Schizosaccharomyces pombe: one gene and its partner. The protein of the gene in region 2 interacts with the protein of the main gene of each other region in a pairwise test. Each region holds a gene or a part of one and is shown on either strand. Other genes may lie near its edges.

Region 1 (6,258 bases), 610 kb from region 2:
ATCTAAGTACAAAAGCATGAGCTTCATTTTACGATGCGCTAAAAAAGTTTCATTTAATAATATTACTCTCTGAGATTCCATTACTTTGCAACTATTAAACTTTTGCTGCTCTAGGTATAGCGTTAATAGTTGCTTTAGTTGCTACAACTCAACCACTTCTACTACTTGTCAAAATACACAATTATGTTCGTTGGCTTGCGTGAAGCAATTATTATTTTATATCATTTTGACCTTTAGTTATATGTTATTTCTAAAAAACTGTGTTCTTCGTACCAAAAACTTTTTACATTTTTACGCCCCTTTCGTGTACTCTTCAGCTTGATAGTTCTGTAATAGACGTAATAGCACTCGAAAATTTCAAAATCGATATCTGCCACTAAAATTATTTTTGTATACTTATTTATTTATTTTTTTGAAATTATCTTTATACCACTTGTATTTTAACCCTCAACAGTCGCTACGTTTTTCTTAAAATTAAAGATTCGAAACTTTCTTATTCAAATATACTAAACGCTTTGTTGGAGTTCATGTCTACAAATTTAGAAGAGAAACAGAGGAGATTTTCTAAGCTTCAAAAGACTTTGGGTGTTGTTTTCCCAGCTGCAATTCTGCTTTCAACTGGCTACACAGTTTGGGTATTTATAGCCCTAATATGCGGTACGTGAATGAAGGGCCAATTCTAACCGCTAAGAAAGAATTTCCATTATATAGTCATATGCTAATTATATTCTATACAGTTGATTCCAATATCAAGATTCGCAATGGCTACCGAAACCTAGGAGGAGGAAGTAAGCTATTACCACAGTTAAATTAAAACATGGACACGACTAACCTTTAAAGTTGTACTTATTATTTTTTTTTTCATAACTTCCGGGTTGGCGTATTTTTCATACTTCAGGGTTTTGTTTTCAAGTCCTTCATTTTGCGGTAATACTTGTATGCTATTCAATAATTGAGTTTGTTTTTATTGTGTTTGGCTAACATCAGTTTATTCTAGTATACACCTATTATGGGTTCGATAATCCAATTTTTTTATGTGGACCTAATGGTGCCCCCCGAATGTGTGGAACTTGCAAATGTTGGCTGCCCGATCGATCCCATCACAGTAGAGTCAGCATGAGATGTATTAGAAAATTTGATCATTATTGTTCTTTGTACGTAAACCGAAAATCCTCTGATCTGCATATCTTTGAATAAAGCACTAATTTTGATCAGCGTTGGCAAAGATGTTTGTTTTTCCAACCAAAAATTCTTTTACCAATTTCTATTTTATGGATTTTCTGCCGCCTGTATGGTTTTGATTAGTACGGCAATCATGATATCGAGAACATATCATTATCGTAGTCTTCCAGGGACTTGGATTTTCGTTCTTGTGTTGTAAGTTTTACCCTATTCACCATAACAGCTAACAATATTATATCAATAGTTCCGCCTTTGGAGTTTTATTTTTGGGTGTAATGTTGGTAAGACACACGGGATATCTTTTATTAAATATAAACAGCCATGAGGCTAAAAACTGGAAGACACGGATCTACTCCTTCAGTGTCTTTTTCCCCGAGCACATGGACTCTAGGGTTTTAGTTCAAAGTGATCCAGGTGATTTACCATGGGATCGAGGCTATTCTGAGAATTGGAGAGCAGTAATGGGAGATCATTGGTATAATTGGATTTTGCCGCTTCGTAGATCACCAGGTGACGGTGAGCATTTTTTGTATAGTCCAAGTTTTGTCAGCAAAATGCAATCAAAAGCTTTATCAATGAATTCTTAATTTTTATGATCTATTAATGTCGTTACTATCTTTGTTTTCTAGATTCTCTAAAAAAAAAGAAACATTCGAGTCAGATAATATTTAAATAATTAATCCTTCCATGCATCAACTCGCCGATATAAAACGCCAAGTGCGTCCTCGTAGGAAAGCGTAATTTCCTTTGTTTTAAAAAATTCATCTATGAAGTCATAATTTTTTTGATTAATCTCGATAATTAGTTTTTTAATAAGCTTATTTTCTCCCGATTCCAGAGATAGTAGCTCAACAGTTGACATTAATCGCTCGAATTTCAGCAAAGGATAGTCTGAAAATTCTAGTACAATCTGCATTGCATCCATTGCAAATTGTACACCTCCTCTCACACTGAACTGGTGGGTCATAACAATTTTTATCATCCAACTTTCAACTAACGTTCCAATCTGATATATAGCTTCGCATTGAGAAGAGCCAATCAAAAGCTTTTGGAGCAGTGCAATGATTTCTTTTAGCCTGGACTGAAATCCTACAATTTCTGCAGAAACCGATGTTGATAATAGAGCAGCACCAGGAAGTTGTTCCTTAATTACCCATGTATCAAGGTCAGAATAGTTGTCAAGTAACGGCCTTAACGTTTGCGAAACTGCACGTAAAATCATGCGAAAAGATCCATTTGTTAAAGTAGATAATCTAGGTTTGACTTGATAAAAAGCCGCATAGTTTTCTGATCCCATTTTATGTCCTATACGAATGTAGACATCCTCATCTTCAATATCATCAAGCCAATCCATGAGTAACTTGAAGTTACTGTAAAGTTTACACATCCGTTCAACTTCAGCAATATCAAACTTGGATTTGTCTGTCTGCAGACTACCAGGTAAATGAATAGATGATGAACTTTCATGAGATTCATAAAAGGCTTCCAACCAATTAACATACTGCATCATAGGCTTTAACTGAACAGATCGCCAAAAATTAAATTGATAATCAAGAGATGGTAAATTTTGAAGCACGGAAAACGTCGTCTCAATCATGTCTCGAAATCGTACAGTCATTTTCGTGGGGACCGCTGAGCTGAAATCATCAGACTGATCGCTTTCCAGCTCCCAAGCATCTGATGCAATTTTTATATCTTCCAACTTTGTGAGGCTCAATTGAGTCTCTAAACCCAACCATTTATCATAAGTTCCGTTTTGCTCAAAAAGAAAAATAATTAAAGGGTCTTGGGTATAATGAAAATGTTGCTCCAACCGCACAGAGTATTGTAGGGTTTCGTGAACTAAATGAACTAAATAATCATCATACTTTATTATATGCGTTAATTTTTCCTTTGCAACGTTGTTTAGCAAATTGATAAATGTAAAAAATGGAGGGACGCCGGGAAAAAATTTTATATCACGCATAAGCATGTAGAAACTACGATTAGAGCGAAAAACTTTTAGTAAGAACTCAAAAAACCATTCTGGTTTTGACAATACATTTGTTTGCTTCTGAGACATAAAGTGGTAACGAAACTGGTTTACATAGGGGGTAATGTACACCTGCATAAATAATGGAAGACCTGTTTCAGAATCTTTAAACGATTGAATGGATCGGACAAAACCAAAAAAACTTTCAAATTTTGATGATTCCTTCAAGTTAGGGTTAATAGCAGGCCAATTAAATAATGTCTTAAGTTTTTCGGTGAGCTCGTTCTTCCATTTTTCTTTCACTTCTCTTTCCTTTTTCTGAAAAAGTAATTCGGCTATGTAATGTAAACAATCAGGTGCAATTTCTGTCTCATCTTTCTTCGTTGACAATGTCGAAAAATCGGTAGAAAAGTCTAAGAAATTTGCAACAGTATCGAGAGAAGCCGATTTTTTGACAAAGGATTGATATACGCATAATAACTCAACTGTGTCTCGGAAAATAGGCGTCGGGTCGGCAGGTATTGCTGAATCTAACCATGCGTCTTCAAGCCCTTCACTAGACCTTCGAAATGCGGCATCTTCGCGAGCCTGCCTCTTTTCTTCTTCGCTTAAAATAGGAAGTGAGTTAGGATCCGGAAGCTGAAGCTCATTGACTTCTTGTTGAAATTTCTCTACTTCATCTGACTTATAAGGATGCCGTGTTCTTGAATCAATAAAATCAATTAACTGTTGGGACATCATCAAAAAGTCCTAGGTGACCCTTCAATGAAGTTTCAGCTGCTATTTGGTTCTTTGTTTACTTCTCTGAACAGTTTTGGAATAGTCAATGTGTTGGCACGACTTTATTTACGGTGCTCGCTAATGTTGCTAATATCATATAGTTTGAAGTTTTAAACAATAAGACTATTGCAATATAAAGTGAGTAGTTTTTATTAAACAAAAATTAATATTCAATAAATTGTTGGCTTATACTTCCAAACTTGTGATTCTGAGTGGGTTATATTTGACAAAGATATGCTGATGGTTACACTTCGTCGCTTTTACGAAAAGAAGTGAATTATACGATATAAATAGCAAAAAAGTGTCTCAATTATTCAGGTCTATATTACTTTTATTAAGGACATTAAGATTTGTTGGTATCGACTGCGCATATTTCGAGACAGAGTATTTAGATGTTTAATGTCCTAGCGTGTGCCAAATAAGGAAGAGTTTTTATCCATTAAAAACAGTATAAGTATTTTCACTTAGAAGAAGTTCACTAAAGCAAATAGATATAAAGAAACAAAGATAAAATAACAAACATCATTGAACAGCACTTCGAATACATTAAAATTGTATTGTACTCTCGTACTTCCAATAAAAGGGGTATAAGTTAGTATATAAAATAAAATTCAAGGTAAATCTTCACTAAGAGATACTCAACTCATCAAATGTGGACAGAGGCATAGGCATTAAAGCTATGACAATCAATAAAAATTTTTGAGAGTAGCAGCGACAACTATTAAAACGAATTCCTTAAAATCTCTTGCATTTCTTTTGCCAACGTATTTGCTATTGAAGTGTTAGTAGAACGAATTGATAGACGAATCAAATTTTGTTCGTAATTTGGTTCAATACGAAGTAAACATCCAACATTCTGTGTACCAAATCGAATAATTCCTGCTCCTACAATATTAAGGGCAATAGAATCAACATTTTGGCATATTCCCCAGTGAAATCCACTAACTATTTTTGTCAGTCGTTTTGCGTCAAGCTTTCTATCTTTGCTGTTGAGTCCGAAAGTTAACTGTGCTTCCCTTTCCACTCCCATTTGACCCCAATGGTTAAAGAAATCATAGCTGTCAAATATTGTCGGTTTCATAAATTTTGATAACAAAACCGGTAATTGGAGGTCTATCGAACGTATAACACCAGTAACATAAGACACATGAATAATCGGAGGTTCGAATATCTCATTAACTCCACTCATAACATATTTTTGCTGAAGTTGAACTCCTGATGGCAAATTTGTATCTTGAAAAGTTGTTGCTAAATGGAAGGTAGAAAAGGTTCTAATTAACGTTGAAGAGAGTGACTTCAACGTATTTGACTGTCGATTTTCATAATACAAATATATGGCGCCTTCTGAATTGTGATATTCTGAACGAACACCAATTTGTATTTGAGAATCTTGGTACAAAATTCCCTTATCTTTCCAACATAAACGATAAAACCCAGGAAGACATGCTGATATGTCATATTCTGGAACATCAATGGGCGTGGATGGTTTGGAAACATTGGGAATGGTTTGAGGATAGGTATCAACCAAATTTACCTTGCTGCTAGGACGTGACTTTGGATGCACTCCATCTCGATTTCCGTCTAAAAATGGGGGAACTTCATCACAAACCAATTGGAGAAAGTCCCTTGGCATTTTTAAAAGTTGAAGATATTCACATGCTCTTTGTTGTACTTCTGGATTTATAATAGTAGAATATTCCTGAAAAACCTTCGCAATTCTATCGTTCAATTCAGGCTGCAAATTTGCCAGTTTGATTAAAGTGGTTAAAAGCAGAACCCTCGTACTGGGAGAAGAAACATTCAGCTTACGATAAATTGTAGAAAACTGATGAACAGGTTGGCTGTCCGGGTAATCGGTAATTAAATGCCCAAATTCACCAAGAACATAACCTCCAGCTTTGACTAAGCATTCATGAATCGTTTCAGACTGTAGTAAGCTGAATAGCCGTTTGGTAGCATATTCCTGGATTTCTTCGTTGTTCACAATGACATGAACTAGCTGATGCCAGACGCCATCATCAGCGGATTTTCCAGCTATCCGAAGCAGTTGTATAGTAACATCGACATACCATTCATAGTCGGTAGCAAAGGTCTCTGAAATTATGGCAACCTTAGAAATAAGATCCTCCTGAGTTACTGAGTCAAGATGTGGTAAATACTGCAATAAATCGGCAACGATGAGTTTAGCATTTTCCTCGTCACACATCATATACAAGAGTTCTAAACTTTTTTTTCTAAGGGAAACATCCTTGTACCTCAAAGAGGATAATATTAATTCCTTATAATGCTTTAAAGAAGTGATAGAATGTCCGCATGAAATTAGA
Region 2 (6,646 bases):
AACTTGTTAATGAACCAGTTTAAGAACAACCGATTACAAACCCTTCGGTCCTTTACAGATTTCCGTTTCTCCAAATTTACCCAATTTGCCCGTATACAATCTCATACCCATACTAATAATACTCATTACTATTTATCACTATGTAATTTTTAACGAAGCGTTATCTGTACTTATCGATGTTCACCATACGTTCTTTACTTCCGAAACATAATATTATCATTGTGGTATGATTTTGATAAATCCCGTAATTTTTAATAGCTACAAATAACTTATCTTACTAACGGCAATTGCTAGAAGCAAAACCCTGCTTAATTACTCTTTCATCAGTTGAATGGTAAGCGAATAAGATGAAACTAGTTTGCTATTTTCCAAATTCGTTATTTGCTATGTAAGAGTAAATAAAGTATCCATTCGCAAAAACCTTATTTACATAAACTAATTTATAGTTCACAAAACTAATTCATCATAATGTACCGTAACCGTACGAAAAGTTAACGAAGTAGCTTTTCTGACACGTTGTGTATATATTGCACAGCATTACACCTGTTCAACAAGTGCCGACGGTAAATGGGAAACTTCTAAATCCGTTATCCATCTGGTGGTCGGTCTCCTCCACAATACGCAACTAGTCATTAAGAAGCTTATAAGTGTTAAACCGATTAAGCTAAAAATTAACATGTTTAAACATTTTTCGATTATATTGGAAACAATGGGGGTTATGCAAAAACTCGTAATTTTATTATTATCTTACATCTTCACAATAACTAGTTGTCTGTCATATGCATTTCAAGCAAAGAATCCTAATGGTAAATATTAAAATGAATTCTGGATTCTTTGTAATTAAGAAAGATTGGACCGTATATAAACAATAACATTGTCCATCAGTAGTAATATGCTCAAAACCCAATTGTTACATCGTGTATTTTTCAAAAGACCGGCAATAATATATTTCATACACTCGTCGGAAACTAGGAAAATAGGGGTGTGTGGATAGGTAGGTAAAAATAAATAGGTACTTGCATAGATAATCAATCATGTACAAGCTTCTCAAATATACATTATATGCACATGATCAAAATCTCCATGAAGAAGAGGGACGAGGGAAAAACTTCGGTTTTCCCATTTCTCTTAAAACCCAAAAAAAAGTAGTAAAATAAAAAACTAAAAACAATAACATTTTAATAATCTAAATGCCATAACTGGATAAATTCAGTAAAGTGTTGTGACGACTCAAGTCGATGCACTGCTGCTCCATCTCCTCGCTTGAATTCAGCTGCAGCGGCTTACTTAACAGTACATCACTAGAAGGCGATTGATACCAATCGCATATTTTAATGACCCGACCAAGATCCGATTCAGGATCTACATGCGCAGTACTGGGTTGAAGATTCTGCACAACTGGAATCGACGCTTCTCCGATATCTCCAGGTACTGGTCCGCCATTCACCATTGTCATTAATGATGGTGCTTTTTCGTTTGGCAAGTTTCCAGCGGCTAATGATCCAGTTCCTGGTGAGCGAGGAGGCAGCGATACATTGGTATTGTAGGCTAATTCGGTCAAAGAGCTCTTAGTAGTGGGTGCAGGTTTCGAGTAGGCAAGAGGCACTGGTTGAACGGGTAGGGCTGGAGAAGATTGAGTAAGAATACTTCCGGTAGTTGTTACTCCTACATTACCGCGTTGCTGAACTCCAGTATTTGTAGTATTTGTTTTCGATACGGTAGCAATCACAGGCGGTACACTGGGAGTAACTAATGCGCCTTGATGGAAAGCAATAGCATCTAAAGCCTTAGCGTACATTCCAAGTGCTGGCCAATACACGCTAAGTTGTGCTAAGTGACGCTTCGCTATCGGTAAATGTACGGCCGCCTTGGACGCCTGAACTTCACTACCACGAGTTATATAGTGATACAATAAAACCGTTCCCGCCAAATATGCTGATGATGCTGTAAACGGAGCAGCTAATGAAATGGAAAGCTCAGTACAGTCTTGGATGATTCGACAAATAGCATTAGCACATTGACTAGCAAGAACGGCCGATTGATTCTCAAATACAGTAGGGGGTGACTTGACATGAGAAAACGGAACCGACGATATGGATGCTGCATATCGATGAACATACAGATGTATTTGTAAAAAAATTAAATGTAGACACGCAAATTGGCCACCTTGTCCCATCATATGGTAAGATAGCAAAGTCTGTCTAGAATACCGAAGTCTATTGGGCAAATTCTTCTCCCATTCATATAATTCTTGATCAAGCTGTTTAAAGGTACTTTTGGCATGCCAAAAAGGATAAGGGTTAGATTGTTTTTGACTATACGACTTTAAACACCGTACTACCCGACCCCAAATAGATACCATACGTATCATGTACGCTAACATCCCCATATTATCTTGGGCATTTCGACTAACTATCGGGGCTGTAGTTGGGTTTGCATTAGTAAAACTGTCAGGACTGCTGGGTTTTCCAGTTAAAGTCTCAGTGACAGCATGGGCTTTGTACATAAAAAGAGTCTCACGCATAGGAAGTGGAACGTGTATGTCTTCGAGATTCAAAAATTGGGTATTACAGTATAAAGAATTTAAGCGATCCAACATAAAGCAATCCCAAAACAATCGTCTGGTAAGTTGAACACGGATTTCAAAGGGGAGAGGTGAATCAGGTCTGTCGTAATATGGTAAATTTGGAGTCTTGTTTGGATGAAGGGCAACAACCATTCGAATGGCCATACCCGCAAACATCCAGTATTTACTTGTCGCAGCACACACGTATGAAAGCATTACAAAAGAAGCCACATATACAAGGTCTAACTTATCAAAGTTTGCCATTGCAATTGCCGATGCTCTGTTAAACCATTGTTCAAACAACTCATTTTTGTCATATTTATCTGTCTGCCAAAACCGAATGGCCACTGCACACATAGCCAAAACCAACACAGGTGGAAGGCGCTGAGACTTCAGAGCCTCCATAAAAGAATCCCGATGGAATAGTACATATGGTTGGCCATGCGCGTAGATAAAATAAATATGAGCAAGCTGTAACTGAATATCCAGGCTAGGCAGATTTTCAGAACCTTCCGTCCAAAGAGGACCATCAGGAAGTCTAAAAGAAGCATTGTAAGCAGGATTTATCGAATGATCAACTGATGCAGCTTTAGGTTCGGGGGGAGAAAGAGGACCAGAAACATGGGAAGGACGTAAGGGATGTACAGCAGCCATATCGTTGAGAGGTTCGTGAGATTGTATTTTTGAAGCCGGAGGTGAGAAGCTGAAATCAGCATGGGGAGAGGAAATGTAATCATTTTGATGAGTAGCTGATGAAGACTGAGAGTCTGGAGAGACGGAAAGGGTAAAAGTAGGAGAATGAATGGTGTGTGGATGATGAAAAGGTATATCAACAGTAGGAGGAGTAGAAGGAAGATGAGAGGAATCGGTATCTGGGCTAGTCGACCAGGTATATCTCCCGTGCGGTATGGAAACAGGTTCTTTCTGGGCTCTTTCAGGGGATAACTATGGCAATTAGTAAGAAATCGACCAATAAAGAATGGGTAACAAAGAAACTTACATCATTTTCGTTTTCAGTAAAACGAATTTTCTTTTGATTCAGCTGAGTATTCGAAGCTAAGCGTTTGCGCAAAAAAGGATCCTATCCAAATAGGTCAGTATGAATAAAAACAAAAAAAGGCATATAAATCATCAATAAAAGAAAGAAAAGTAAATCGGTGGATTTTGTATTTCTCCCCATATGCCGACATTAGCAGTTCGAGTCGGTATTGACTTACCTCTGGACTATCTGATAATCTAACGCCGTGGACAGCAGTGGAATTTTCTAACATAGTGCGGTAACCAAAGTATAGAAAATTAAGAAATTACAAAAACAAAGGAGCAAAGGATAAAAAAACAAACAAGTAAGAATGAAAACTCCAAAACCTGACGATGCAAACACTTTTGAAGTCGTTTAATGAAACTCGGGAATTGATGTAAAAACAAACTTAGAATTCCGAGACTATCCAATAATGAACAAAAAGAAATGAATAGATGATACAAACGAGAGTGAAGAAAAGAAAACAAGAGTTAGCTCACGTTAGTATGAATAAATAGAAGGAGGGAAAAAATTATTACAAGAAGATAATAATAACAAGATTAGAAGAATTATATTATCAAAAGAAAAGAAGGGAAGATAGATCAACAGAGAACAGAGAGTAGCAAGAGAAAGACTGGAAGAAAATCGGGAAATGAAAATAGGAAAACAAAAGAGATCCAAACGGATAACTAAAAGAACCCCAAAAACAAGGAGAAAGTGGAAGAGTATGAATAAATTAGATCAATCACTTTGCGACAAGAACGAGTCGTACAAAATGACGAATGAAACGAAAAAAAGAGTAGCAAATTGGGGAGGGATTGGAGATAAAGTCTTTGTGAACTTTGGCTGCTACCACTTTACCGGTGTGAATATTTTTTTCTTGGAAACTTTTTGTAGTTGCAATATAATTCAAAAGTTTACCAAAATAAAAGCAATTTAATTCAATTTTTTTTGACAAAAGTATCTTTGAACTGCGTAAACGAGGTGCTCCGAAAGAGTCTGCGCTCAAGGTAAGGACGGATGCAAAGGATAAAGAAAAATAAATCAATCGCCAATTCGAGCAGATTGATATCGCGGAGTACAAAAGAATCCTTCAACCGAATTAGGTTAATGAAGAAATTGATTCTTGTCGAGAAAGCCCTTGGTAAAGAAAATCTCCGTAAATCCTCCAAATATCGAGCAAATTCACGCGCGTTTCAATCAATCAACTTATGACTGAACTGAAGGAAATTTTCAGAGAGAAATTCTCTTTAGTTCCTCTTCTTAAATGCTTAGTTTACTCTTATAATCAAGTGGGAAAAGTATAGGAAAACGGCAAGTCAAGCTACACGGCCACGCTATACACAACAGAGTTTGATATGATGTTTCCCTCTTCCGGCTAATGAATAAACTACCTGGGAAATGTGTTCCGGGGTAATTTGGTCTACGGTAATCAATTTCGGTAAAAGTCGGTTGACGACCGAGCCACGTTAAACAAACCAGCGATGTGTACACAAGTTTGGGAAATGAGGTTTGCGAGGATCACCGAGATGGAACGAAGTCAACAAAAAGGAGAGAAGGAAAGCGAGGAAAAGAGTGAAGAAGAGAGACAAGAAGGATGTATTCGTCTTTCTGGAGAACTGAGAGTTCAATAATTGTTTTCGCCGTTTATGCTTTTATCCTTTTGTCGATTTTTTGTTTAATGCTAATGGAAAGGAAAGGAGAATGATCGGTAATGAACGGATGGATGGATGGAACAATTTTATGACGAGAAAATGCTTGTTCTGGCAGCTATACTGCTTCAAAAAAAAAAAGCCCCAGACAGATGTATGAAGAAAAGCAGTAGTAGAAAGGAGAAGGTACGTTACAACACTGCTGGTTATAAAAGAACTGGGGAGCGGAAATAAGAATGTCAAGGCCGAACTTAGACGGTGAGTGGGACCAGCAAGACGGAAGGTTGTAAACGAACTAGTGAAAAGAAAGGGATTCAACAAAACAGCCGAGTACTTTATTTGTAGAGGGAACAAGATATAGAAGAACCGAAAATGTGATGTTAACAAACAATATAAACAAAGGAAGAATATAGGTTTGATAAAATAAAAAGAAAAAAAAACGGAAGAGCGAAGAACCAGATCTCAGAGCAGAAATTGAGGGGGAAAACAAAGCAAAAAAAAAAAAAAAAAAAAAAAAAAAAAGCATTCGCTAGACAGAATCTCTTTGCAGAATATGGTTTTCTGTTCTTTTTATATGTTAAGAGTCAAATCTCAACAACTTAACAATTTTGTATTAATCTGTAAACAATTTGATTCTTCCCTACTCAGTTTTCAAGTACACAGTTGTATGCAGCTTTCACTAGCCATATATCCTTGTCCCCTACAGTTCCATTGCCAACGAAAAAATTTAATCGAGCCCTCGTAACGATGGTATTTGAACTGTGTCGCATTTCAACTGCACCCAAGTGTCGGTCTTTTGTTCTTTGCTATACTACTTGCTGGCCTTTTCCGCCTGCAAAATGTGTAATCGGCTTTGTTTACATTGTGCAAAAACCAACCTTTCGCATTTTAAAAACTCCATCATCTTCAGCGGCTTCTACCTACTTTCCCCCCCCAACTTGCTACTCGTTTTCGGATTTTAGTGGGCGTTTTGATCAATGAAAATTTTGCGTCGCAATTTTTTCCTTCCTCCCCAGCTTACCAAGCGATCTATGGCAAGTCTCTTTTCCATTTTTGTATATCGCAACGCAGCATATGTAGTGTGCGCTTCTTTAAAGGTTTATTACGGATCCGAACCAATCCGTTACGGCAGTTGACAAGGTACGGAATTTAAAATGAGTAGTTCGAGCCATGCAACATTTAAATTCCGCATCCTCAACTGCCGTACATGACGCCTCCTATGCAATGCCGTAACCAAGTACCGAGGTGGAAACGCTGAAAACTGCTGAAGCTCGTTAATAGAATAGTGCAATGCGGTGAAGGATGTAAAAAGAAGCAGCGGAGGAAAGGTGCCAAGCAAGAGAGAGTAGTGAACAAGAAAAGAATGGAGGCGCAAAGATTGGGATGCTATGACACTAGAAGGTATCATTC

The links.
Region 1: the proteins of SPOM_SPBC530.11C (region 2) and drp1 interact in a two-hybrid assay, tested with the Schizosaccharomyces pombe proteins (one large-scale study listed by BioGRID).

The regions. Positions count from the first base shown.
Region 1 is NC_003423.3:1,420,015-1,426,272, forward strand, and holds drp1 (RINT1 family protein), read right to left. Parts: upstream 3,971-6,258; 5' UTR 3,896-3,970; coding exon 1,859-3,895; 3' UTR 1,770-1,858; coding exon of another isoform or gene 1,427-1,769; 3' UTR 1,378-1,426; coding exon of another isoform or gene 1,216-1,377; 3' UTR 1,155-1,215; coding exon of another isoform or gene 998-1,154; 3' UTR 937-997; coding exon of another isoform or gene 841-936; 3' UTR 789-840; coding exon of another isoform or gene 738-788; 3' UTR 658-737; coding exon of another isoform or gene 528-657; 3' UTR 511-527; downstream 1-510. Other genes in the region: palmitoyltransferase Pfa5, read left to right, coding at 528-657, 738-788, 841-936, 998-1,154, 1,216-1,377, 1,427-1,769; apl3 (AP-2 adaptor complex subunit Alp3), read right to left, coding at 4,656-6,258.
Region 2 is NC_003423.3:813,633-820,278, forward strand, and holds SPOM_SPBC530.11C (transcription factor), read right to left. Parts: upstream 4,898-6,646; 5' UTR 3,838-4,897; coding exon 3,784-3,837; exon of another isoform or gene 3,648-3,783; coding exon 3,567-3,647; exon of another isoform or gene 3,512-3,566; coding exon 1,187-3,511; 3' UTR 746-1,186; downstream 1-745.